Linked DNA regions of Mus musculus: regions 2, 3 and 4 are each reported to be linked to region 1. Evidence: microRNA targets listed by miRTarBase, many of them from high-throughput screens and not tested one by one. Region 1 holds a microRNA gene; each other region holds the end of a gene's coding sequence.
Evidence for each region. The annotated mature microRNA mmu-miR-15a-5p reads UAGCAGCACAUAAUGGUUUGUG and lies in region 1 at 2,126-2,147, opposite strand. An mRNA with a match to its seed (bases 2 to 7 or 8) in the 3' UTR can be bound and repressed. Matches are read on the target gene's strand: a 7mer-m8 pairs with bases 2 to 8, a 7mer-A1 pairs with bases 2 to 7 and ends in A, and an 8mer does both.

Region 1 (7,126 bases):
AATCAACTTGTTAAAACTTACTTAATTTTACCTTTAAATTAGAATTGAGTAGTGGTTCTTTTGAGGACAATTCCTTAAAAAATAACTGAAATACTTTTAGGATCTCCACAACACACGGTAGAATTAATTATGAACCTTTAATCTGAAAAGGTAAGAGACTCCTTGTAAAAAGTAATGACAGAGTTAGAGGACATTATTGTGAGATAATGTGTTTTCTTGAACATTTTAAAATAATGACGTAAAACATTTAAAATAAAGCACATGGGATAGTTAAAAGAACATTTCCGGGCTGGTGAGATGGCTCAGTGGGTAAGAGCACCCGACTGCTCTTCCGAAGGTCCGGAGTTCAATTCCCAGCAACCACATGGTGGCTCACAACCATCCGTAACGAGATCTGACTCCCTCTTCTAGAATGTCTGAAGACAGCTACAGTGTACTTACATATAATCAATAAATAAATCTTTAAAAAAAAAAAAAAAAAAAAAGAACATTTCCTTTGAAATAATTAAAATATTCTGAATATATTTATAAAATTAATGACTGTTAGCTTTAATCTGAAGTTAAATATTAAGGCACAGATGAGATGTCTTTCATACTTTTGACTTATAAAAATCTCCTGTTAAACATTTTAGTGAAAAATAAGAAAAACAGTAATTATTAAGTTAGAAGATATAGGATTTATACCCTAATATGTCATAGGTTGCAAATTAAATTTCAGATTGTTTCCTCAGTTAACCAATAAAAAGGTCAGCTATTCTAAGGATTCTTCTAAATTTAAGTTTAAAAATTCAACGTACACATTTTAGTGTTATTCTCCTTCATTTAAAATGAAATATTTAGGCACATTATACTCAAGATTATGTTATAATCTGTAGCATTTCAAACTTTATCTGTATCTAAAGAAAACTTCAAATCAAGAGAAAAGTATTTTTCTATTATAAGTAATAATATGAGTTTAAATTCATGTACAATTTGGTACTTCCTAAACTCTTTCAAATAAACTTTTATATGGAAATGCTGGAAAGAGAGCTCGAGCCTTGGTGGTACTGGGTATATTCTGTACCACTGTAGCTCTCAAGAAACTCTGGAAAGGTGTTCAAGACTTAAAAATACTTGTTATATTATTAGTCAGTGCTCCATCTGTGGATCCAACCAACCACACATTCAAAACATTTGGGTGGCCAGGCATTGGGGCCTACAGTTTTAAACAAAGAATTTGGGAGGCGGAGGCAAGAGGATCTCAGTGAGTTTCATGGCAGCCTGGTCTACATGGTGAGACCCAGGCTCAAAAGACCAAACCAAAAAACTTATTTCTTGGACAAAAACTGCATTAGTACTGAATTGTACAGTTTTTTTCTCATCATTAAGAGAATAACTTGAATAATACAACTATCCATGTTAACATCCCACTGCACTACACATTAAAAACAATGTAGAGATAAGTTTAAATAAGTATAAGGGAGGATATGCACTGGTCACGAGCAGACATTTTATACAGGAGATCCAAGCATTTACAAATCTGGGTATCTAGAAGTCCTATAATCAGTTCCTCACACAGAAGTCATTATGTTTTGTTTGTTTTTAAAAGACAGATCCTTACATAGGTCTTAGACTTGCTTTATGGCCAAGGATGATGTTAAGCCTCTAATTCTCTTTTTTCCACTTCCTCAGATCTAGGATTACAAGTGTACCTGGTATGCAGTGGTAAGGCTAAAACCCATGGCCTTGTGCATGCTAGCAAGAAGCACTTGGCCAACTGAGCTGCATTACCATCCCACAATTATATAGTATTTTAACAGACACAATATGTAGAGCGTTGTTACTAACATCATTACAGAATCATACCAAACATAAAATCACTAATGCAATTAGAAAAACCGTGTAAACACACAAGTAACATCAATACACATTGAATTACAGTTGTAGAGTATTGCCAACCTTACTTCAGCAGCACAGTCAATACTGGAGGTAATTTCAGAATCTTAACGCCAATATTTACGTGCTGCTAAGGCACCGCTGACATTGCTATCATAGGAGCTATGAATAAAAAGACAGGTACTCTCTTCAGAAGATCAGGTCCTTGTATTTTGAGGCAGCACAGTATGGCCTGCACCTTTTCAACATCCACAAACCATTATGTGCTGCTACTTTACTCCAAGGGTTGGTTTTGAAAACTCCTAGCACCTCAATAGTAATTTACAGAAAAGGCTTTTTAGGAAAAAGTAGAACACATAAAATCTATGTTTGAAAAAAATCTAACACTGGTATGTGCATAATTTTATAGGCTTTCAGCAGAATAAAAAGTATTTCCATATCATAAGTTTAATAAAAGCGTACAGAAAACTTAATACAGTGCTGTAATTTATTGTAGTCATGAAACGAGAAAAGCAAGTCATTTTCCCATACCAACTTAAGAACCTCATTTATTAAACTAACAACTTTTGAATGTGCTTAACACATGAAATAGCTACAAAAGTTGGTTTTTACCTTATTAAGAGCAGCACATCTTTCAAAGCCAAATCCATAGGACAAAGCTTCATGTTAAAGGAAACATGTAAGAACAAACATGTAAGAGCTCAGTTTCAAGAAATTTATACTAGCAAAATATTTAGAAGACATACACATGAAACATATTCCCCAAAAATATATAACCCCCAATCTACACATGAACACAAGATTTATCTCAATATTGGAATAGTTATTGTGAGTTCAGTGTCATTTATTATTACCCAGAACATCATCTTAGGATAACAGGTCTATTTGGTTTCCTAAAAGGATATATCAGAAATCCTGTAGCTCAAGCCTAAGTAACCATTTGTGTGTTTCCCAGTTAAAAAGGCTAGTCCTTTAAAGGAGTATCATTTTATACCACAGGACTTTGACTTAGCTGAAACAAAATTTTTACTACGTTAAGTTCCAACTTCATTTTATGTGTGTGTGAATATCTAGGTTTTCTTACACTATTAAGAAGACTCTTTTCTGTTTAGTGGGGGACTTAGCCATCCCTTCACAAAGAACTGTTCTTATTATTCCAGTTCATACCAGATTTTCCATTCAAACTAGATTACTGTGTAGCAAATGTTTTCTAGTGGGTCAATGCCATTTCTCCATTCCCGTTCATGTTGGGTCATTTGAAATATCAAAACGTCTTTAAATCTTCAAACCTTTGCTTTCAAGTGTGCCAGCTTAAAAAAAAAAAGTCTGAAAATAAAGATAAAAGCTGCTAAAAGTGATTTTGTCCTTTATCTTTATACAATGATTATAATTTCAAATTCAGTGGTTTTTTGAGAGAGGTTTTGAGGACAGTGGCTGCTGTCCTGCAATTCATTCTATAGACCAGGCTGGACTGGAACTCAGAGATCTATCTGCCTGGTTTCCCTCCTGCATGCTAGGATTAAAGGCGTGCACCATCATGCCCCGTTCCAAATTCAGTGGTTTATATTCTGGCCTAAGGACCAAAATAATTTTTCTTTGTTGGGTTTTTACATAGTTCAACTTTTTACTAATGTTCTTAAAAGGAAAAAAAAGCCATTCTGAAAAGAAAACAAAATGTTTTGCTTAAGAAGGTAACTTGAGTGTACATAGGAATACATGGCAATCTTTAAATACCTGAAATTAATATTATTCGTATAAGAAAACAGAATTTTACAACAATTTAAGAAGATAGATCAAACCAAATTGTCCTATTTCCCCCTTCAACTCTATTTGTTTCCATTAATATTTTTCTTTAGAAACATTTACTTTTTACCTTATAAAACTTCTAATATTAATTCATCTTGTTTCCATAAAGCTTAGCACTTCACAAACATTTATAGGCATGTTGCCCAAGCTATATCATCATCTTGACTGCATCAGAATAATGGGATACTTTTTGAATTTAATAATAAGCAACCAGTAATTTGTTGGAGCACAATGACAGAATACAGAATCTGAGGTCCGAACCCTGACACTGTCCTTTGAGTGTCTCCCATGGCTGTTATTCTAGTACACTGACCCTTTCTGGTTCCCTATCTGCAAATGAACCATTAACATACATATAAGCCTTTGTAGGACGCTTCTGAACCATAGCCATCTTATGAAGTTGTCTAAGAACATGGAGAAAACACTACCAGGTTTAAGTTCTGATGACAGAGCAACAATTCTCAGGGCACAAAAAATCTACTTAAATAGCAAAGCTAAAGGCATGAAATACTGCAACAAATTTGGGAAGTTAAAAGCTGGGTATGTTAATATCTTTGATGTGGCAATAATGCCACTATAAAATCTTTGGAACTGTTTCTTCTCTAAACATTTTAAATTCCTAGTTCTAAAATTTGATATGTGAAAAGTGACAGAATCATTTGTAGGGCATACTACTAAATAGTTAAAAATTCCATTTCCATGTGATTTTTTTCTAGGAAAATGAGCTTATGTAACATATTTGAAAAAGAAATTGTTCTAACAACAACAACAACAACAACAACAACAACAACAACAACAACAACATACCCAAATTTTATTTAATGGCTATGAAAGGAAAACTAAACTGATTGTTTAGGCCAAGTCAGGTATGGTGATCACTGACAACTGAATATGTATTTCAATTTGCTCATTTTTTACATGGAAATTTTTGAAATTCAAGTTGCAAGGCTGCAGAGTTACTCAGTGGTTAAGAGCATTTTGTTGCTGTAAAAGACCCAGGTTCAGTTCCCAGCACCCACATGGAGCCTAAGCACTTCCTCCAGCACGCACTGCAGACATACACGAAGGCAGAACACTCATACTTTAAAAAGCTCAAATTTCAGAACAGAAGATGACAACAATAATTCACACTAAATGTTCTGAGGATATTATCCCAGTGCATTTATGCTTAAAAGTGAAAAAAAAAATCACATTGTATCAGATTGTTATATTTGCAAATTTAAATTCCTACCCAAACCAGGTGGGTGGCTAAGTGTTGTGAGTGGAACATGCCTATAATTTTGGCACTCTAGAGATGGAGGTAGAAGGATTACTATACAGATTCAAGGCTAGGCAGATAAGCTGTCTCAGACAAAGAAAATGAATATACACCCCACCAAAATTCAGAACCTGGTATAACTGTTTAAATTTTACCGTCCCCCAACTGCCCCCTGACCATACAAGGGATCATATAAGCAGGGCTGTCCTGAATTTCACTCAATTGTTACTGATGACCTTGGTCTCCATCTCTCCTGCATATCAGGTCCATACACACTTACACATATATACATGCAGTTAAACTCACAAATTAAATAAAGAAATGTATAAGCCTTAAAAAAAATCTTTGCTTATTTGTAAACTTTAAAGAAAGGATTTAATATTTTGACTTCAGACTCGGAGATAGCAGGGACTTTCTATAAAATACTTTCCACACTAGTAAAGTTTCCTGAGGCAATGAAATCATTCTTGTTCTAAATTAATATCAAACATGAATAGAGTGTTAATGGGCAATTTAAGTTATTCAAGAATAAATAGAAAAATTATCAGATATATGGAAATATGATACCAAACACAAGTCTTCATTGCAGTGGTGATGGGTCACTGAGGAAGGAAGGAGCTAGAAACTAATACTTACAAAATAATAATTGTTGGGCTATTTAGAGGGCCATTTTAGTAATATCTTCATTTTAACATTGTTAAACCTAGAAAAAAAAGAGTAAAGACTTTAAAATTTGATCTTATTACATAAGCAACATTTTCAATTGATGTCAGCAATCACTGCTTTCTGATTCCTATACATTAAAAAAATTATATTTAGTTTATGAGACTATGTCACAACATATAAAGGGGGGAGTCTACTGTAACTTCAACTGCACTACAAAGTTACCAAGTGCTCCACAAAGGACAACATTTCCCAACATCTGAAAATACATTAAAAAAAAAAAAAGCTACTTCTAGTTAGAAATTAACATTAAAAAAAAAGTATTACACACACACACACACACACACACACACATTCATACATATTTTTATCCATGAGGATAAATAACTCTGAAGGGGGTCAAAAAATATGGAAATAAAACATCTAGAACATACCAGAAGAAAATATTGCTAAGAGGTGTCTGAGGCCAAAAATAAGTGAAACTAGCACTGCTGCAATTGTTTCCATGGCTGACTTTTACTTGTAAGAGAAAGGGTTTAGAGCCTTGCACCCTGGCAGAAATGTTTCACAGCCCATCCTGTAAAACAACCTTGAACTACCCCAGAGACTTCAGTCAGTTAGTGTTTTGTTTCTGAGGGATGTGATTAGACACTGCACTTGCACTTTTGAGGCAGCTTTGCTAATAGCCCAGACTGGCACTGAAATGTGGGGTACTCTTGCCTTATTTATCTTCCTAGGTGCTAGGATTACTGGAATGTGCCAGCATACCTACATACAAGTACTTATTACAAGATATAGCATAGAAAGAATACTCTAATTTTTTATACCTTTACCAGAGTATTCCAAGTGTGTATTTTATTGCAAAATACTTTCTCACAAAGTATCAACATTTCTTTTTATTTCAAAATACACTGATCCCCTTTCCCAATAATGCCTATATAAATCTCTATCCCAAAGCCAACTCTACTGAATGTTAAAAAAAATTTCCAATTACACATAAAGATCCTTATGTGCCAAGCTCTGATTTGATCTCATTGGGCTCTTACAATGTAACTAAAACCTTGATATGATATTTATGTCCTATATGTTTTTATACTATAAGTACAAATATAACTGTTACACATATACACTTTCTTGAAAGGTTGTTTTCTATTTGCTGAATAGTTATTCAGAATTTATACAACTCTTGTTTTAATGGCTATGTAGTTTATGAGACTATGTCACAACATATAAAGAGTCTACTGTAACTTCAACTGCACTACAAAGTCACCAAGTGCTCCACAAAGGACAAATTTTCCCAACATCTGAAAATACATTTTAAAAAAAAAAGCTACTTCTAGTTAAAAATTAACATTTTTTAAAGTGTTGAGTTTTATTTTTATTTTCCTTTTAGTCTTCACATCTCTTTTGTGTTTTTGTGTGCTTTGCCTGCGTATGTGTCTGTGTATTTCTTGCATGCCTAGTGCCCATAGAGGCCAGAAAAGGTTTTTTTGTTGTTGTTTTTTGGTTTTTTTTTGTTCCCTG
Region 2 (7,126 bases), not on the chromosome of region 1:
CACAGCAACTTCAAAGATACTATTATTTAAAAACAACATGAGACCTACAAGGCTCTCTTCTAGTATAGTACTATTCTTCTAATGTAATTAGGTTCAGAGAACATGTGTGTTTGTTCTGTCTGCATGAATGTGTGGGTACCCGTGCATTGGGCCAGAAGCATTGGGTCCCCTGGAGCTAGAGTTAAAGGCAGTTTTGAGTCTCTTGATATGGGTGCTAGGAACTGAACTTGGTCCTGAAAGAACAGTAAACAATCCTAATTCCTGAGGCATCTCTCCAGTTGTATATTCAGCTATTTAAGCTCTCCAGATAATTCTGATGTTAGTCAGAGTTGCTAGTGCTGTAGCTATAAAATTATGTTATCAGCCCCCATAAAGTACCTAGTGTGGGCTCCTATGGTGAAACATTACTCAGTTTTCTTTAAGACGTGTAAATGGAAAGATAGTCTTTTGAACTAAAAAAAAATTTTTTTTTTTTTTGGTTATTTGAGACAGGGTTTCTCTGTATAACCCTGGCTGACCTGGAACTCACTTTGTAGACCAGGTTGGCCTCGAACTCAAAAATCCGCCTGCCTCTGCCTCCCGAGTGCTGGGATCAAAGGCGTGCGCCACCACGCCCGGCTTGAACTAAAAATGAACGTGGTGTCTTAGTAACTACATTATTTTACTGTGTTTCAGTGAGTTAACTTTATTCATGTTTGTTGGGTTTTCATTGTGTAACGAAATATTAGGTACAGGCTGGACATGTGGTTCAATATTAAAGGACCTGCCTACGTTCTATTCCCAGCATGCAGAAAACTTAAACCTTTTATTAATTTCATACATTTTTTCCTTTTGTTTTTCTTTTTCACACAGGCCAATCAGTTGGAGGAGCTTTTTCCAGTGCAAAGACAGCTATGTCTTCATGGCTATCTACTTTCACCACATCCACCCCTCAGAGTCTTCCTGAGCCACCCAATGGGAAGCCCTGAGTCCAGCAGAGCAGCAGAAGCTGCTTGGTTTTCTGCGGTGTAATGCTCCCTCCCCGTCTGCTGCTCCCAGGGTTTCTTCTTCTATCCAAAGGTCCATACCCAGGGACCAAGATGATAAACTGTTTACATGGACGGTTGCACTCTATCTAAATGAAAGTTGCAGTATGCTGAATGGATGAAATTACAACCGTAGCGGAATAGCTTTCCAGGTTGGGGGTTAAATCGACTACTTTTACTTCATTCTGAGCCTAATTAATGTACACAATGAACGTTGTAGTGAATTTTAAGTTCTGAGACTGTACATTTGTTTACTTAGAAGAATTTTTACATATGTATATTTTGTTCTATTTTGCTGTTTAAATATTTAGATGGCCATTGTAATTTATATTGACTAAAATTAAGTTATATTACTATTTCACTATCTCTGAAGTTAGCCCTAAAATGTATTTGTAATGGGTAGGGACTATGCATTCCAGTCTGAGTTCTCTAGGGTGGACTTCTATGGGAGGGTTGGAGGAAACCTTCTACCCACTTAAACATACTTACCAGCTCACTTCTTCCCAGAGCTGTGAAAGTAAGAACGGAAAGCTGAGGATAAGATGTCATTTTTTATGAATGTCTTCTTGTCACAGTTGGTGTGAAGCAGCAAAGATGCCCCTGTGCTTCTCCTATTGGCAGTGCTGTGCAAGGAAGCAGCAGTGGTGACTGAGCCGCACTGAAGGGCTGCCGCATGTCTGGAGGGCAGTACTTTGACAACCCACATGCTAGCTCGATCAACTCCAGTTATGTTGCTGTCTTAATCAGCACTTTGTTATCAAAATTATGTGCCTTGTTTCTTGTGAATGGTTGTCTGTTGGATCTGGATAGATCCACAGGCCTTCTCTTAGTCTTGTTCTGCATTGAGCTTTTCAAAGGCACTTGACCTCCCTACTTCCCTGACTGGAAATCTTTAGTCAGGTCTGCTACCTTCTAAAGAAAAACAAAGTGACCAATGAAGGTTAAATATAAACCATGACTTAGTTCACATTTAGAAAAGCAAGAAGTTGGCCAAGGAGATGATTTAGTGAGGAAAAGCGTTTACTGTGCAAGCATGACAACCTGAGTCCAGATCCCTGGAACCCACATAAAAAGCCACATCTGTAATCCCAGTGTCCCTACAATGAGGCGGGAACAGAGTCAGAGTTCCTCAAAACAATGTGGAAAGGAAGAACCAACTCTTGAAAATTGTCCTCTGACCTCCATGTAGGCAATGTGTCGTGCAAATTCTTATATTCACACACACAAAGACACCTCAAATGAAAGAACAGTAAGAAGCAAGAAAATGAATTCGCACCCATGCCAGGAGTCAGTTGTTTGGTAAATCAGTACAGTTGGCTTCATGTTACCACAGGCATGAATTTGCCAGCCTCTCATTTAATTCATGTTGGTCATGTATAGCTGTCATTTGCCTTTCAGGGGATCCTGAATGGGCATTCTCAGGGAGTACTTACAGGAAACAGTCTACCTTTTCAGTAACAGAAGGCATGTAGAATAACCATTATATCTACATATGATTAAAAAAGCATTGGGAAAGTAAGAGGCATTGATTATCTTTCATTTATCCTCTAGGAGGTTCCCTAAGGACTATAAAAAGAAGATAGGGCATAACTCAATATTTTTAAAATTTTGCAAGTTGGATTTTCACACAAAACCACAAAAATATGAACTACTTTAAGTTGGGCATAATAAGTTGAGAGAATCCAGTGACAATAAATTAATTGGTTAATGGGAGAAAACCATTAATTTTCTTTGGCCAGTAAATATTTGAAAAGAGAAGAAACTAAAGCCACACAAAACTGTGAAAGGCACATTAATGTTGTGCTGAGACTATTAAGAATTCCTTGTTAGATACCATTTCATGTGGCTGCAGCATGCTGATATATCCATGGTAGTTGACATTGCTAGGAGCCCTGCCTGGGTTAGCTAATAAGGTAATGATTCATTCTTTAGTTTGTACCAGGTTTATATGACTTGCCGAATTGCCTGCTATTACTTAAACAAAAGCAATGCAGCACTGACTTTGAAATATACTTGGGGACAAAATGTAACTGGTTTTGTTTCACACTCCCCATTTGAGTGTGTATGGTTCCCCTGTGTATGGTCTCACAGTCTTGCCACACAGGTCTCTAAATTGCCAACTTCCTCCCTCTTGTCTCAACTGGGATTATAGGAGCACACTACTGTGCCAGGCTTAAGTGTATATTTTAATTGAACCTTCTCTTAATGTAGTTAAAAACTTAACTCTTAAAATGGTTACTTAACTGGTCAGCCTAAAATAACTTACCTTGGAATATAAAACATCTTGGAATGGTCAAAAGACTATACTCCTACTTCCTTCAGGTTCTTGGAAATGTTGGCTTTTCAAGGGCCATAGGCCATTTTGTTGCTGGGGGCATCACCTAATGCAGCAGCCTGTGTCATGGAGAACAGGAGATACAGCCAGTGAGCCCAGACACGTGAAGTCTGTATTTTAGGCTCCAGTGAGCTAGACTAACTCGGAAGAGTAGTCTCCCTCCAGTGCTGGCATGGTAGTCCTTTAGTCAACACCTGGCCTTTTGACTATTGCCAGGAGATGTGGCTATTGGAAACCATGCTTTCTCCAGTGATTGCCAGTGCTCTTGTGTCTTAAGAACTGAGTGTTTGTAACTAGACCTGCAGGAGCGAAAGTCAACCAGCATTTTTCAGGTTTCCAGCAGGCAGACATTGACAGTAGCTGCACTGCTGTTGAGGTAGTTTTGATCGTAGTGTAACGACAAAGGCACAGATAAGGAAGAGAATACAAGCTGTGAGTCTGGAGTAGAGTAGAAATTCTGAAGCTGCGTGTAACAGGATGTAGAGCAATTGTATATGTATATCTGATTTATAACCAACATGAATTGTCCACCCCCAAGTCCTTCACTAGCTCTCAAGCCTGAAAACAGTTCTCTCCTTTTGCGGTAAGAAACAGTTGGCTTTCTTGGGCAGCAAAGTAGAGTGCATGACAGGACTTCCTCAGTCTTTCTGCTTTTCACATTTTGTACTAAGCAGTTAACTGATTTTTAGAATAGCTTTCTTTAGAAATTCAAGGAAAGCAAATTAGGAAAACACAAATGAGAAGCTATTACATGGCTGAGAAACAGGGCACTTAAGTCTGAATGGAGAGTATTTTGACATCAGTATTTAACCTACTAAAGGCATGAGTTTAGACAAGTTAGAATTGTAATCTGCTATTGACATTTCTAAGTGAAGCTATAACATTCTTTAGCTGGTAGGCAGGTATTATTGAAGCTGTATATTTTATAGAGAAAATTTTGAGGGAGTTAACAGCCAGTGGCTCTCTTCCTTCCATGTTGATAAATTTAGAAGTCCTGCGGCCAGCATCCTGATTTATACCCACAGGCAGTGTCTGCTGCAGCCTCCACAGAGGGCAGCCTGTTAGGACAGAAGCTGCTGCCTCCTGCCTGTGGTGCTAGCTGCACCAGCCTGTTCATGTGTTGGGGCATTGCTTAGGATCCCTGAAACATTTGCACACTGTGGTTCTTTAAAGAGAAATGGCCCAGCATTCATGGCTTTCCACACCATCTTCTGGTAGCCTTTAACTATGACAGAATGCTCCTTGAATCACTTGAAGATGACCATCATTCCTCATAACCTAATGTGCCGGTTTTCTCATCCAAGTCTTCTGACTTCGTTAGCTTGGAATTCTTTTTCCGTAATTTCCAACATTCCACAAAACTTTTTTTTAGAGAAAAAAGGATCTTGTTTTTATTTTTTCGTACAAAAAACTCCATAAAAATGACTTCCTACCTACATTATGAAGAAGAAACTGGCTGCCTCGTATACTATAACACTCCAAAATGAAAAGATTGTGCATGTCTAAGGGGTTGGATATATTTTGTAAAACTCTAAATACATTTGTATTTCTGTGCTGTTCAGAAATTTACCTTTTTACTTATACTAATTAAAGATGCAGAAAACTATATATTTAAATCATGTATATGGAACGCAATTTAAGGGGTTTCCAATCGTATTTTTCATCAGCTTCCCATGCACATAGTATGCTGCTGAAGTTTCTTTTTTGTGCAATATAAACATTTGAACATTTCAAGTCAGGTACTGAGCCAGAAAAGGTCATTGAAGTTTTCAGAGAACTGCCTAAAGCGTATTTTATTCTGTTGAGATACTGTTATTTTATAGCTGGGAAACCAAGATTGTGCATTACATGTTTCAGTCCACTTGATCATTCCTTTCTAAATTTAGAAAGCATGTGATTAATGACTTGGTGGAGGTACTTAATGATTGGAAAACAGTTTTTAAGGAAGTCAAGCTATAGCTTCTCTTTCCTCCAGTGGCTTTGTAGTTTGTGCCGGTTCATTTCTGTTGTCATTTGTTTTTTAAAAACATATTCAAGTTATAAATCATGTCTAGTCATACTGAACTGTAGAGCTTCTATTGTACATTTATTTTAAGGAAAACCTAATAATAAAATTATCCTGTTTCTCTTGCACACGGGCTATTGATCTCCTAGACTTAACTGCGTGTTGTCTGTGTGATCTCTGGCCTTCACAACTGGGCAACAGTGCATTCTTCATTTGTCAAGAAAGCAGCGCATGGGTGAGCTGAAGGACTACACATCCAGTTTAGCTTCCTCCTGATACTGCTTATCACCATACGCTTTCTAGCTATGACCTCTTCGGAAAGAGCTTTATGTAGCGTCTGGGGAACTCTGAGGAATGCTGCGCAAGTACTAAGGATATTGGTCATGTAATCACTCATGGACAGGGCCAGGGAAGGAGAAAACTGCACTCCCGCCATCCATTTCTCCACTTGGACTGGTAAGGTTCAAAATAATACACTGAGGATTCCAGGTATGTGTGCTGTGCACCATGGCTCCATTACAACTTGTTTATGGAATAAGAAGATAAATGTCCCTTTCCTGGGGTTGTGTGAGTGTGGCCTTTAAGTTGTTTAGCACTAAGGAAGGTGATCTAGATTTAAAAGGATATTTTTTCAGATGACAATACAAGTTAAAATTAAAACCATTCAGGTAGAAAATTATAAACTCCTTAAGATAGAATAGATGTTATAATATTGTAGTAAATTATTCAGATTGTGAATTTCTTTTAAACTTTCCAACCACACACACACACAGACGCACACATGTGTCAAAATAATTATTGTCTGTAATAAACTTCATCAAAACGAGTTCTGGCTTTTTAGTACTCTGAGTATATTTAACTTTAATGCATTAATAATAATAAAAGACTTTTATGCCTTAAAAAAATAATGTACTAAATTGAAAAAATTGATGGACTGGATGTTGTTAGTGTATATCTTACCTTATAATTTACATAACTGTTATAACTGTTCAATGTATGTGAGAGAGAAAAGGCCTTTTTAATAGATGAAAAATGGTGAATTGTTGTAAATTGGTTCTAATGCTAAGTCACGGGGAAAATGCTAATGCTAAAGTCACAGGGAAGCCTAACATCTGCCTGAAAGAGGCTGAGGGTCCCTGCCCCTAGTTGGCTCTAATTGGTAAATAAAGTTGCCTGTGGCCAATGGCTGAGTAGGGAGACAAAGGTGTAGGTGTATAGTCCTATAACCCCAGGCAACGGAACCATGGAAAGAAGGTTTTAGAATTGCTATGACGGGGAATCTGAAAGATCAGGCTTGAGAGCTGAAGAAGTGAGAGCATACAGACATGTAAGAGCATCCCCATTCCTCTTCCCTTTTGAGTCTAGGGTAACAAAGATAGAATTTAGATTTTAGTAAGTAATAATTCAAGAGTATTGGAGGGGAGACGTTAGCATCGAAGTGTGGGAATGGCCCACACTTGATCTGCTTAGGGGCATATTAAAAATATTAAATATTAAAAATGTGTGTCTTTCATTCAAGAATCCACAACATTGGAAAGGTAGTGAGAAGTGCTAACACAACTGCCAGAGATACTGCCACAACAAAACATGATCATTCAACTATAGCACACATGGGTGTATGTGTTCTGCATACTGTTTATCATTTTGGGTTTTACAAATATTTCCCGTGATTCATTCTTCACAATGCCTCAAAAGTAGTTATTTTTTTCTTTTAATTATTTTTAATCATGTGCATATTGAGGGGTGGGTGTTCACAATGCC
Region 3 (7,126 bases), not on the chromosome of region 1:
TTTCCCTTCCTTCCTCCCTCCCTCTGCCCTTCATCACAGTGGTCACGGTAGCAGACACAGTATCAGGGTTACAGCTATTCAGTACTTTGGGGTGTGGCCTGGGTATGGCAGGAGGCAGCTCTTGCAAGAGCCGGGTGACAACTTAGTGCATTCTGATCAGGAGCAATGCTAAGCTGAAGAGATGACATTTCTATTTTTGTCTTCCATGAGGATATCCTCTAGGGAGGAATAGTGTCTTCCCTCTTTTGAAATGTCTGCTGTTCAGATCGTGGCAGCACATGAGTCTAAGATGCTCATGGAGGAATCTGGGCCTGTTAGCTCACAAGTGTGGAAGTTTGCCATAGCTGATACTGTGGCCACAGGATGCCTCTGCCCCCACACAGCTTTTCTTGGTCTGCAGGATTGGCTGAGAACGTATGTTAGTGGTCAACACTGAATTGTCGGGTGGTGCCATGTCTCCAGTTTGGATCTGGCAACCTGGCCTGATTGTCAAAAGCTGAGTGAGGGTCCTTCCTGTTCGGTAGATGTCAGTTGTCTAGTCCAACACCGTTGTTGGTCCTGACACGCCCTGAACATCTGCAGTCCTTTTCCAGCTGTTCTAAAGTGTCTAAATGCGCACACAGTCTCTGGAAGGAAGCCTCCACGCACAGGTGGAGTAAGTCGCACATAGTTCAAAACCATGTGGCAGTGAAAACCTGCTGGGCACCCGAATGCCATCCATCAGTGGTACTATCCTAGGGGATGGCAATGGCGAGCTAGCTGCAAGCCAGCCCACTCAGGCACTGGGTGCAAGGCTGCACAACCCCCTGTTCCCTCATACAATGCCTTTATAGTTCCCGTCTAACAGACTGTCAGCCGTACATGGAAGATACGGCTAGAAAAGCTAGAATGGCCTCTCAGTAACTGGTACAGTTACCTGGCAGGTACACAGCTGCCCCACCTCAGCTTCTACTCTGAAACTGTCGCATACGTGGCTAACTGGCCTAGCTTTTTGAGTCAATAAACTCTTGGGAAGATGTTTTCTTAACAGCGAGTGGGCTTGTTGATGTGGGACAGCTTAAAATAGCCTTGGCAGTGCTCACACTGTGTATGTGGCTCCCATTTCTTACGTCCCATGGGAATTCTGTCATTTTTCTGCTCACAACCTTCTGTGCCTGTGAGTTTTCCATAGTGAAAAACAAACAAAAGTCAAACGGTCCTGATGAGGAAGTTTCTCAGTTGGCGGTGGTAAGAACAACAAAATCACAAACACTGCTGACCGTTTAAAGGTTCTTTGGGCATATATACTACAGTTTTAGACAGTGCCACCAAATGACGCTTGCTTATAAAATGCAGGCATGTAGTTCTGATAGGTGAAAACTCATAAGAAAACTCATACCACACTAAAGGGATATTTCTTCCTTGGCCTAGAAGCCTATGTGCTAGCATCTTTTCTTGGGTTTAAAATATAGAAGGTGAATCTTCATGTGACATGCCCCCTGCCCCCACAAAGATGCTTTGAATACACACTGGTCATGAGGGAATAGTTGCTGCTTCATTGATTCTCTTGCAAATGACCTTGCTATCTGGTCTCCATTTCTACCCTTGCTCAGAGGGTTAATTGAAAAGATACGCATCAAAACACTTGCTTAAAAGAGGCATAGCCCTTGGATTGAGGGACAGGAACTGTGTGCCATATCTACACTTCCTGCCGGTTAAAATACTGCATTTTAAAAAATAAGCTACAATGTATAAAACCAAGGTCATTTCCCACAAAGTGTTCATGTTCTCTGTGATTACAAAACGCGGTATCTTGTAAAATATTTCCAGTTCTGTTAAACTTGAGAAGTACTAATGCTTATTATAAAAGTGTCATGTCTCTTGCAGAAGCCTAAGCAGTGTATTTCTTTCATTTGGAAATTTAAGTTGTAATTATTATTGTATTTAAGATTACATTTACCATAACACATTACCATTATGATTCTCAGACACACACAACAAGTTATAAAACATGAGATTGTCTTAGGAAAAAAAAGCTACTTACAAAACAGGACAGGAGATAAAATTCCCGTTTTGATTCCTGGTCCTGTGATAGGTACACTCTTTAAAGCATGTGTGTCATTGGAAATGGGCCTTTTCCAAGTCTGTCACCAGAAGCAAGTCTTGAGTACATTTCATATGTCCTTGCTCTGTTGGAGTACAGTTACTCAGGACAACTGGTACCTAAAAGTGCTAACCTCATCTTATTTACTAACTTCCCCTGTGGCTACTTACAATGCAGAAAATACAGGATGAAATCGTAACATGGAGAAATCCCTCCACGTGGGAGGATTGGTGGCACCTGTGTGCTGCTGGTAGGTTTCTTTCTTACAGAAATAGAATTGTCAGTTGACTCATATGCCTAACATGCCCTTCAAAATGACCCACGCTCCCAACGCTGTCATACTGACGGGCCATGCTGGCTCCACTCATCCGCACATATTCACACAGGTCAATGCCACAGCTGATGTGGGTGGTGGAAATCCTACGGACAAGAGCAAAGACAGCACCTTGTCCACCAGAGTCCATGGCAGTGTGCTCCTGAACATGCCACTAAAGCAAACCACACGTCGTGGCCAGCTTTCCCTCCCTTAGAGGATGCTGTGTATAATAAACAGCATCCAGACTGAGGAACTACAACAAGGAACAGCAAGGCTTTTTGTTCCCAATTACATTCAGAGGAAGCCTCACCATGTCTATGGATGCCCAGCAGGCTCTTCACCTGTGGCTCAAACCTCAATCAGCTTTAGGGCAGCTACGAACAGACAGTCCCTCTGCCACACCTCATGGAAGTCGTCTGCCTGTCCAGCTGAACACGGATTTGTTTTGAAATGACACGGAGAGTTACATAAAGAAAAACTTGTTCTGACAAGAAAAGACTTGAGGAGATAAAAATCCTCCTGGTCTCGGGGTTCTCCAGATCTCTTCCCACAGCATCCTTGTCTCCCTGAGGAAATGAGTAGTATTTACAGTATTCTGCTGCTATGCTCAACAGATTCTTGTATGTACAGTTCTCACCTCTTTTCTCAGAACCTTCTCCGGTGAATGCCACCTTTGTCTTGCAGGGCAGCTGAAGTGAGAGATGAAACAGACTCTTTTATAGGGGCTCACTACTCACTTTAAGCCCAGGGCTTCTGGCAAAGTGTGACGTACTTGTTCTTGGATACCAGAGATGGCAGACTCCAAATCTTGTCATCTTCAATTGCAATGGGGAACAATTTGGCTTCAAATAATTTTTCCAACATACATGAAGTCTGAAGGAATTTTTGGAGAGCTCAACAGTAATGCTTTTCTCTAGAGATGATCGTCCTTTATAGCTTGGTCATGGGAGGTTCATAAGGGAGCCTCCTGGACATGGTACTATCAACGTGCACGAGAGGTCCACTCTGGTTTGGAAACCCACTGTCTTCTTCCTGGCGCTAGCTTTTGCTAATCCAGAGAACCTAACTTCCCAGACATAAGGTGGCAGGTGAGCCTGATGGATAGTTCCTGGCCGAAGCAGCTCCTGTCTTGTGTCAGACATCTACAGCAGACATGGAGGAGTCCTAGCTGAGCAGCCCAAGAACATGAGCAGAAGATAGGGGTGTGCAGGTCTCCCGCACTGCCCCCTTGACACATATGCTACCTGGGGGTTTCTCCACGTTATCTCACAGATTTTCACAAAATAAGTGTCCATATTCCAGGAAGGCTAAGGCTGGAAACTATTGCCTGTTGCACACATTGCTTCCTAGCTGGCTGGAGAATGTCCTGCTAGTCACTGTGACATGCTTTTTCCGGGAGAAATGAGAAACCTTTTTCATCATGGAAGAAGAAGAACTAGACATTTCCATGGACAAGAATTCATTACATCACTGCTCCTTTGACAGACAGGGCTGGAAGCCCTGGGGTGCACAGAGCCTCAGGCTAGCAGCCAGCTCACCAACTCTCATGCTTTCTGTTTCTCCACAAAATGAAGACACAAAAAGAACTTAGTTTCATGGACATGGCATGAAATGAAAAGTCAGGCTTCATTTGGCACTTTGTTTGGGTCCCCAAATAACAAAATAACTACTTAAGAAATGTAACTCACACAAAAAGTAACTCATATAATCAGTTAACTGTATGTTGCAATTCAGAGCTTCCGGTCCCTGGCATTACACCCTTCCACACAGGGAATGGGCATGTGTCCAGAGCTGCACTCAGGATTTGCCTGCACCTTGGAAGCCAGATAAGGAAATGTTCAGTGCCTAAGGCTGGCCTGGAGATGAGGGCCCTAGGTGGGCTGGGGATGCACACGAGCTGGCACGATGGAGGTTTCTGAGAAAACGAGGGACTCAGGTCAGGTGCATTTGGTGTCACGATTGTGCTGACAATATGCAGCTAAGCGGGCTCAGACCTGCCCTTAGGCTGTGTTTCTGGGGGCGACAGCTCAGCACCTAAGGACTGCTCTCTCTCACACAGACGACAGCATTCCTTCACCTCCAAGTTCTTCAAGAGAAGGTGGATTGAATTTCACATCACTTTAATGTTTTGATTAAAGTCTTCATCTGAGATTTTAAAAATTAAGGGAGCTTTGCTGAGGAGAAAACCCTCTAGCCTAGGATCCATCTGTTATTTAAGCACATGGTGAACTTGACCAAACAGTTGATGTCTCAATCTCCACGTTGCTCAGGGCCTCTTGGAGCAGCTAGAACACCATTTCAGGGAGTGAGGCTACAGGAGATAAGGAGAGGACATGCCCAGGGGAAAGAAATCTAGCTCTGGACTTTAAAAGCAAAAAGTTGTTTCCTGGTTGCAGGTAAAAGCATCTGGAACAGGTGGTATAGCTGATGTTGGTTATCAACCTACAGGGAAATCAGAGAAAGCTTTCTCTTTTCTCTTGAAGTAAGTGTTTTGTTTTCCTTTTAAGTATCCAAAGGAAAAGATCAGCATCTCTTTCCCGTTTTCCTTGATTTCCGTGGTAAAAAAGCCACATGAATTTAAAAAATAAAATTGCCAAAATACATGAACGCACCAGTTAAGGGTGTTCCGCTGTAGAGCCTCCATATACACCCCTTATATACAAAGAGGTGTCTCAGACGCCTACATGCCTTCTCTACTCTGTAAAAAAGCACTATGTACAATCTTTAAACATATATTAAGTTTTCCTCTGTGCAAGTTCATTTAACATTCATATTGCTGACACCATGTTCCCCATCCCTACCTAGTGGCTCCTATAAGGTGCTCTTACCATGCATAGGTACAGGACACTCCTCTCTTAAGCAGGGCAGACAGAATAAGTCCTTACAAGGCTTGATAGCTGCTCCAAGCTCCACCCTTCCAACAGCCAAGTACATCAGGTTCCAATGGCTGGAACCCAGCCTAAGCCTTGGCCCTACTCAATGGAGAGAGTCCTATACCAAGATGCATCTGCCTTTGGGCATCCTGTAAGTTAGTTTCTGAGCAAATTCTTAATTCATAGTTTCAATATTCCTATAAGACAACAAAGTTTAGCGTTCCATTATCCATATACGTCACCGAGTCCACTAACTCATCCCCTAGCCATCCCCTCGCCATCTAGAAAAGTGCACTCACAATGGAAGTTGGCTTGATGCCCTAGTGGATCTTTCCCACAGCTATGCTCTGCTGGAAGCAAACCTGCAGGCCAGTCTGGAGTTTTCTACCTGGGCGGGGTTGGAGAGCAGAATGCTAACCCAGAGTCCTGGCTATGGTCTTGGCAGAACCAAGCAGGACACACTATCCAGGCTGCAGTGTGTGTGATATCCCTGAAAGCAGCATCAAGGTTTACCAGATTGCTACTAGCGCCAGCTCTCGTCTGAGCCATGGCAGGCAGAGACTTAGTGGTGCCACCACTCACATGGGATCCAAGGACGATTTTCAGATGCTTTCTGCAGTGCCTCTTGGTGTCCTGACCTCAGGTGATGGCTGAGGTGACTCGCACTCACTGTCAATCACTTTTGGCCTTATGTAAGTTACTCAGGGCCTCCAAGCTAACATCTTTACAATGGTTCCACTTGGGGTCCTTCTTGAAAACAAAACAGACATAGAAAAACTCTTTTTTGAAATACATCATGATCAGACTGATCCAAGGAGTCGCACGGAAAAACAGAGAGATGCCTATTCACAAGGTAGGTACTATCCTTTATACAAATGCTACCTCAGACTGTGTAGCTTATGGGTATATTGTGTAGCTTATGGGCATATTGTTTTCAGTGTCAAAAACCCTCGAAAATGCCAGAGTTCAGAAAGCTTATCAAAATGTGCCTTCTCTCTAGGTGAAATGGGCCTGGTTGGCTAAGCTGCTACAGAAGACCAGCTTTAAGACCAGACTGAGAGCTAAGGAAGCGGGCTTTTCCTTCGAAGGAAGGTCCTCCTTGGCGCTCTCGCCTGGTTCTCAGAGCAGTGCAGTGCTGATTTTTTGCTGTGTTTTTGTTTTTGTTTTTGTTTTTGTTTTGCTTTAATTCCACCAAGGAATTATATTCCTGGGATTCCAGGCAGGGCCTTCCCTGGGCCTTGAGTAGCTTCCTTTGGAAGGAGAGGCAGGAATGGCTCAGTCAATGAACCGCTGGCAGGCCTTCTTCCAGCGGCAGGCGGTGCACCACATGTCCCTGTTTTCCATCCCATAAACCTTGCGGCACTTTTTGCCTTCTCCTCTGGGCTTCCTGTAAGAAAGACGGCACACAGACAGCCTTAGGGACAGGAACGGGGCGGCCTTCTGGGGAGAGTTGCAAAGAATAAGGGGGAACAGAAGACAAAAAGCCCAGCATGGAGTAGGACTTCCCGTAGGGCTGGGGACTTCTCTGGCCACTGTGATTACACTGTTTCTAAATCCCATTCATGGAAATGTTTCCTTGGCCATGGTGTAAGCGTAAGGGGTAGACACAAGAGGTGGGGACTGTGGAGGGGGACCTGGGGCAGCCCTGCTCACCAAGCACGAGGAGGACATTTGGAACCTATATGGAGCTTGATGTGATAGCGCGTGCATGCAATTGCCTGTAATCCCAGTGTTTATAGAGCAAGGTGAGAGATGCTGACAGAGATCCCTGCAAGCTCTTGGACCAGCTTGACTGCAGTGGGTGAGTGAGACACCCCACCAAGACAAACCCCACATATGCACCATATGCATCTT
Region 4 (7,126 bases), not on the chromosome of region 1:
TTAGACAAAAACAAAGTAAAACAACAACAACAAAACAGATATAAGATAACATAAGATATAGTCTACAGAACTCAAATGGGACACCATACTGAAAGACCCAAGTCAGGATGCCTCAGTCCCACTTGGGAGGGAGAAGAAAGAAATCACAAGGGGGAAGGGAAGGAACTGGGAGAGAAGGGGGACAGGTGTGTGTGGCGGGGGAGAGGGAAACATGATCTGGTGTTGTGTGAGGGGAAAGGATTGAAGTCCTGAGGGCCAGCAGAAAGAATGAAAACAGTCAACTTTGAAAAGTAGGATGTTTAGGGGACCCTCCAGAATGTACAGAGACATGGGAGGTGAGAGACTCTCAGGACTCAAAGGGAGGGACCTTAGATGACATGCCCTACAGTGGGTAGAGGGAACTTGAAAAGCCCACCTCCAGCAGAAAGACAGGGTATCCATTAAAGGATGGGGTTCCCATCCCACAAGTCAAAACTCATAATTGTTTCTGTCTGAAAGAAGTGCAGGAATGGAAATGGAGAACCTGAGGAAAGAAGGTCTAGAAACAGGCCCAAAGTAGGATCCAGCTCAAGGGGAGGCCCCAAGGCCTGACAAGATTACTGAGGATATGGAGCGCTCACTAAAAGGGACCTATCTTGGCTGTCCTTCAAAAGACCCAAGAAGCATCTGAAAGAGTCAGATGCAGAAATTTGTACCCAACCAATGGACAGAAGCTGCTAATCCCCATGGTTGAATTAGGGAAAGCTGGAAGAAGCTGAGGAGGAGGGCAACCCTGTAGGAGGACCAGCAGTCTCAATTAACCTGGACCCCTGAGATCTCTCAGACACTGGACCACCCACAAGACAACATACAGCAGCTGATATGAGGCCCCCAACACATATACAGCAGGGGACTGCTGAGTCTGAGTTTAATCAGAGAAGATGCACCTAACCCTCAAGAAACTGCAGACCTAGGGAGTTTAGAGTTCTGGTGGGGTGGGGGGTGGGAAAATACTTCTGGAGCCAGGGGCACAGGGAGGTGGTAGTGATTGTGGATCAGTAGGAGGGTGAACCAGGAGGGGAATAAAATTTGGAGTGTAAATAAATAAAAAAAGGAATATAAAAAAATTACAGTTCTCTAGAAAAATAATATAAAGGTTATAATGACTTTTTTTTTCTAGAATCTGACTTTAAAATAATCATGTGTCTATAAATGTGTGTTTATGTGCATTTGAGTTCAGGTTCCCATGGATGCCAAAGATGCTAGATTGTTTGAAGCTAGCTCTAGGTTTTGTGAGTTGTGAAACTTTATACATAGAACTAGGTTCTTTGGAAAAGCAGTAAGTGCTTTTAACTGTTGATCCATCTCTAGTCGCTAAACATTTATATTTTCAAGTATATTTTAAACCATTGAAAAGGTCATAGTTTATTCAATCCCAAATATTCTCTGTAGACCATGTTAATGAGAATATATTGGCTCACTATTTTGTGGTAAATTAAGTAGAATTCAATAAAACAAAAACATAACATGATCATGATTTCAGTAAAGATACAGTTTATTGAATTAAAAATAAGTGGTTTTTATTTTTCTCTTCCTTCCTTCCCCCTCCCTCCCTCCCTCCCTCCCCCTCCCTCTCCCCCTGCCCCTCTCTTTCTTTCTATCTTCCTTCCTTCCTTCCTTCCTTCCTTCCTTCCTTCCTTCCTTCCTTCCTTCCTTCCTATGCTGAGACAGGGTCACACTATATCGTTCTGGCTGTCCTAGAATTCACTATGTAGACGTAGACCAGGGAAGGCTCAAATCAGAGATCTTCCTGTCTCTGCCTCCTGAGTACTAAGATTAAAGGTATGTGTCAATTCACTTGGCTGAATCTGTGTTTCTTATGTTACCATTTATAGCTATAAGAGATCAAAAATTGAGTTTCATAGTATCTGTACTTAATTCATGTGCCCCATTTGTGGTCCTACCTAAAATAATTTACTATATTGCATTTTTTTAACTTAATTTTATTTGTAATTCATTTTTTACACTCCATATTCCCTTCCCCACCCCTACCCATCCACCCTCCAACTTCTCCACAACCATACCTTCTCCCTACCCCACCTCATCTCCAATTGGATGCCCCCACCACCCACCCCACCTTACTTCTAAACTCCCTGGGGCCTCCAGTCTCTTATGGGTTACATGCTTCATCACTGAATGACCACAGACCTGGAAGTCCTCTACTGTGTGTGTGTTAGGGACCTCATATCAGCTTGTGTATGCTGTCTGTTTGGTGGGCCAATGTTTGAAAGACTGTGGGGGTCCAAATTAATTAAGACTGCTGGTTCTCCTACAGAATTGCCCTTCTCAGCTTCTTTCAGCCTTCCCTAATTTAACAACCTGGGTCAGCTGCTATATAGCATTTCTTATGGTCTATGTTTGAGATGATGGAGAAGTTGACATTAACACTTAGTGTTGTTTGATAATGTCATAGAAACTCAATTTGTAGGTGTGATAAAGGATATGATTATACTTCTTTAGCAACATGACATTTTTGATTCTTCTTTTTAAAGTATCTTATTTCTGTAAGACTTGGCCTTTTAAAACTGCAATGGCTATATTTTTCATAGTTGCTTTAACTTGAAGATATATTTTTTATTTTTCTCCCAAATGTATTCTTATATAAAATTTACAAAACAAAAAGTTGGTGATCTGAGAACTAAGAGTTAGTGATGTCTTAAAATCAAAAGTTTTCTTTTAGAAAATTCAAACTTCAGAACTAGTATATGTAAAATTCATTTACAAAGGAGTATTTTTATAATAAAAATATTACTTTTTATAATAAAACTTTATTTTCATGGTAATACATTTTTAATGTTATATGGTTATATTTCAGTAGCAATCACTCTGATTGTAAAAGTTCTACTCAGAAATTTGGCAGTGACTTTCAAACATGAAGAGATGGCTGTGTTTTTCTAATTGTAATAAACATCAATAAGAAGTTAATATATTTCTGAAGTTTTCATCACTGAGAGTGCTGTCAATTATAAAGAAATGAAACTGCAATGAAGGTAGCAATCTGGGCGTCTAGATTTATGATAATGCATGACTAATCACTCACTCTCTGTGCATACACAGTGTTTGTTCTTTCTTTCTCTTTTATTTCTACAAAATGTTAATGCACTGGAAGATTGCCATTTTCTGAACCTGTAGATTTAAGTTTAGATACAAGTAATAAGTCTTGTGACTTAAGTTCCACAAAAATGAATTACACACCAACACAACCCAACCGCAAGCATACTATTTGAATGACATGGAAGTATTTTAATGATCTGATTAATCTAGAAAATACCAGTTACATAGTTTACTTAGGATGGTGGTTTTCTGAGAATAGACTTCTGCACTCCTTAGATTCTATGGATGATTTTAAGATACTCATTATTTTCCTCATAAAATTACTTTATTTGCTGGAAATTAAAAAGGAAACAGTGATTAAATTCTTATTTATTTCAGGCACAAAACTGAACATAATTTATTAAGGAAAATGCTCATAAACTGTTAGTGTTTAATGCAAGTCATATTTTTAAAGCTCATGTTACCCCACTTCTAGTGACAATAAAATCTTAGCTTCTCTAGCAGCACATACACTATAAATAGATAGGGCAATGAAACCATACATATAAAACAACAGGGCTCTGTACAAGGCGCACACCTCACAAAAAAGCCATGATCATCCATATTTTGAATGTATGTGATACCACATAGCATGTCTTAAAAACAAGAAGTGTTCCTATTAGAGTTTGCCTACCTAAAGATTGATTCATTTCTAAAACTGACATGATTTTTTAACCTTATACAAATTGTTATACGAAGTATGAACTGCTTGCTTTTGTGATATGTGTAGTATGACAAATGAATCTTCTAAATTTTCTAACTCTCACTTGTAGCCTAGAGCTTACATGAACTTTTGGTAAGAGAAGAAAACATCATTATAAAAAGATGCAGTGTTCCCATTAGATCATGCTTAACTTTTGTTGACAAAAAAACAAAACAAAACAAAATAAGATCAACAACAACAAAACCCAAAAAACAAAATACCTGCTCATTCATTCTTGAATTTCAAGATTATAGTAACTAGATTCTCCAGTTTGATAGGATGGTAGTTGAGAATGACCCTTCACTTGTAGAACTTAAAATGAAATACTCTAAATATCAGTGTCTTTTTATAGAGTGCTGTGTCTGCATTATCATCTGCTTATTTTAAAATTGTGGTATTTTGTATGCATATGAGACAAAAATTGCAATTTAAGTTATGTCATTCATTTTAGAATATATTTTTAAAAATTTAGTTTCCATAAAGGTGCCTTAGTGGAATTCTTTTTAACATAGGGAAATTACTTCTAACCTCATTGACATGTTCATAAGTTGTTGATTATAATTTCTGTGGAATTAGTAACACAAATGTTATCAAAGTTTTTACTTTCAGTTTCTTTAATTTTGCGCACACAGTGAGACAAGTTCTCAGGGGATTGAATTCTCATTTAATTTTCTGAATTGGTTATTTATACACTTGAAACAAAAATAACTCCCAATTCTTTTCATAGTTTTCTTTTATACAAGCTTTCCAATAACTCTCCAGGGTTTATAATTTTAATATAGAAAGCATTGAATAAATTTCCTCTTTTTAATAATCTTCATGTGCTTCATATTGTATAAGAAATGACATTTTTGAAAGTTGTATGTAAGATATGTTAAAATATTAATATATATGTATGCTACTAATACTAATAATGATAAGTGAATAGAATCATATTGAGTATAACACAGTGACACATTTTACAAAGAATTATATGAATTCTTTTAAGAAACAGGGTATCACTACATTGAATTGGTGTTCAAATCCAGAGCCAATGGTAGAGTGCTGGATAAAACAAAGGTTGTATATATATTATCTAATACTTTTTTAAAAAATTTTTGTAGTGCTTATGAGAAGGGGCAAGCCAAGATGATCTTTCTCAACCAGACTTGAGAACTGACTTGAGTAATTACTGAGATTAAATTTTAGTGCACTTTATAAAAAATATGACTTTCACAGAAGTGAAGGAATACAATATATGATGGTGGTTACACTGGTAGAAATATGTATTGCCAGGAAAATGTGAGCAAGAGATTTAGAAATGACTGCACAGCACCGCATCAGAGAATATGGTAAGAGTAACATGATTGATAGTGTTTCCCATATAAATAAAATCTTTAAATCTTCTTGTAGAAATAAATGGGGGGAAAGTGCTTTTCTTTTACCTTAATTTCTATGAAAATATTTCTTGATGTAGACCAAGAGACAGTAAAAATAATGACAGTTAAAAAGAGAAGACATTCATGCATTTAAGCCACCGTTAATCTGATTCTAATACAAGGCAGATCATTAATCTTTTGCAAAACTATGATTCTGGCCACTTAAACTCTTTTTAGTGCTTTTCATGAGAAGGGCATGATAGGCCCTGTAAATTTGGGATTTAAGATGTATTTCCAACACACTAACTTAGACAAACACTTTTTGAAACTCCAAATATACAATAAAATCCTTTGCTTTGGAGAAATGATGACAAGCCAATCAAGGAGAAAAAAAGATAAACACAGGGTCCTATAAAGTTTATCATAAATGACAGAGTAGAGAGATGAAAACATGACATTTGCCTATGTGTCATCTTCAGTCTTAATGATGTGGAACAGGGTAACATTGAACAGGACCTGGTGGCCATTGTTCCAGGCATAAAGAGCTCTATCTCTTGCATTGTAGTCAAGCATAGATATGTGAAAGTATTGGTTATGGAAGGGGATGTCCGTGTACTCATATGTGGAAGTTTTTGTGGAATAGGAATAATACACTTTGGCTCCTGTTAAGTGGGAATTGGTGACGTACAGAGTCCCACAGATCATGAAGGATTCCCCTGCACTTCTCTTGGGATAGCCAGTGCTCCAGCTTTTCATCACCTCCAAGGTATCTTGATTAAGCTGGCTGATGACAATATTGCCTGCATTCTGGTTAGTTGCATATACAGCCCACAGACCAATTTCATCAGCCATTAGGTCAATGTCAGAGAATCCACCCCATGTATAGGGGTACACATTGTGAAAACCAGCGTACTCCAGGCTTCTTTGGGCTAGCACTCTCCCTAAGTCAAAGCTGTACTTGATGATGATATTACTCTGATATTTGTTAAAATAGAGAGAGCCATTGTAGACAACATGGTTAGTTCCTGCCCACTTGAAAGGGAGGTTGTATGTCCTTGATTCAGCTCCACTCACAAAGTCTGCAATGGACTTGTATTCACGAACTATTTTATTGTTGGTATAACTGTCCATATACCAGACCTGAAAATAAAGAAGAAGAAGAGAGAAAGAGAAACAAATGGAATGATTAAGTCCTGGACATGTATAAAAAATTCAAAACAAAGACAGTTACAGTCAAAGTTTCAAGTATTGGATGTCAAATGTTCTTACTGGTTAGCCATTGAAATATCATAGCATATGGGCCTTTGTAAGGGTATTTGTAAGGAGGCAAATGGCCCAATATGTAAGGATGCTATCTGCCAAGAATGACAAGACGAGTTGCATCTTTAGAAACTGAATGATTGAAATCAAGAATCACAGAGTCCTCTGACCTCCATCTGTTTGTGAATATACAAACATGCACAAATATATCTCTTAGAAAGTGACATTTGTTTGGAAAAGAAATCACTGAATTTACTACCTTCAAATTAATTTGTTTTGTTTTATTTTCTGTCTAGTTCACACCTATTGCTGAGTATACCCAGCATATATTTCAAAGAACATCTTCTGATGTAGCCATATGATCAATAATAACTGTAAGGTATTATCTTTGTCCTGAACCTTGCCTTACAAAAATGTCTATTTTATTTTACATGCCCAACTTATGTTTACGTTCTAGTTGCCACAACCTTCAACTAACAGTTACTCACTTAATTATGTTGTAGGCTTTAGTAAAAACCAATGTATTAATTTAATAGCAAATCTTAATAGGACTATAAAGAATTTTAATTCATAATGAATTCATTAGTAAGTATAAATATATCGGTTCCTATTATATTTAATTCCATAATTACAGGTATTGTCAACCATAAAAATTCCTTCACTATTTTAAGTG

Region 2: the mRNA of Avl9 is a reported target of mmu-miR-15a-5p. Seed matches in the 3' UTR shown: 7mer-m8 at 1,027-1,033 and 7mer-m8 at 5,046-5,052.
Region 3: the mRNA of Zfp704 is a reported target of mmu-miR-15a-5p. Seed matches in the 3' UTR shown: 7mer-m8 at 5,768-5,774 and 7mer-A1 at 3,923-3,929.
Region 4: the mRNA of Olfm3 is a reported target of mmu-miR-15a-5p. Seed matches in the 3' UTR shown: 8mer at 3,592-3,599.

What each region holds. Positions count from the first base shown.
Region 1 is chr14:61,629,950-61,637,075 of GRCm38, forward strand. Mir15a (microRNA 15a) reads right to left here and starts at 2,161; the gene lies at 2,078-2,161. Dleu2 (deleted in lymphocytic leukemia, 2) reads right to left here. Exons shown (of 7, transcript NR_028264.1): 3 at 5,576-5,642; 4 at 2,488-2,534. It overlaps Mir16-1 (microRNA 16-1), which reads right to left and starts at 2,023; the gene lies at 1,931-2,023.
Region 2 is chr6:56,756,420-56,763,545 of GRCm38, forward strand. It overlaps Avl9 (AVL9 cell migration associated), which reads left to right. Exons shown (of 16, transcript NM_030235.1): 16 at 853-5,492. The coding sequence ends at 968. Among named protein-coding and RNA genes, the nearest start is that of Gm10209, 34 kb to the right of the region's middle.
Region 3 is chr3:9,432,240-9,439,365 of GRCm38, forward strand. Zfp704 (zinc finger protein 704) reads right to left here. Exons shown (of 9, transcript NM_133218.2): 9 at 1-6,659. The coding sequence ends at 6,548. It overlaps C030034L19Rik (RIKEN cDNA C030034L19 gene), which reads left to right. Exons shown (of 4, transcript NR_160691.1): 4 at 2,470-4,994. Among named protein-coding and RNA genes, the nearest start is that of C030034L19Rik, 33 kb to the left of the region's middle.
Region 4 is chr3:115,121,387-115,128,512 of GRCm38, reverse strand. Olfm3 (olfactomedin 3) reads right to left here. Exons shown (of 6, transcript NM_153157.3): 6 at 2,749-6,333. The coding sequence ends at 5,656. Among named protein-coding and RNA genes, the nearest start is that of Olfm3, 44 kb to the right of the region's middle.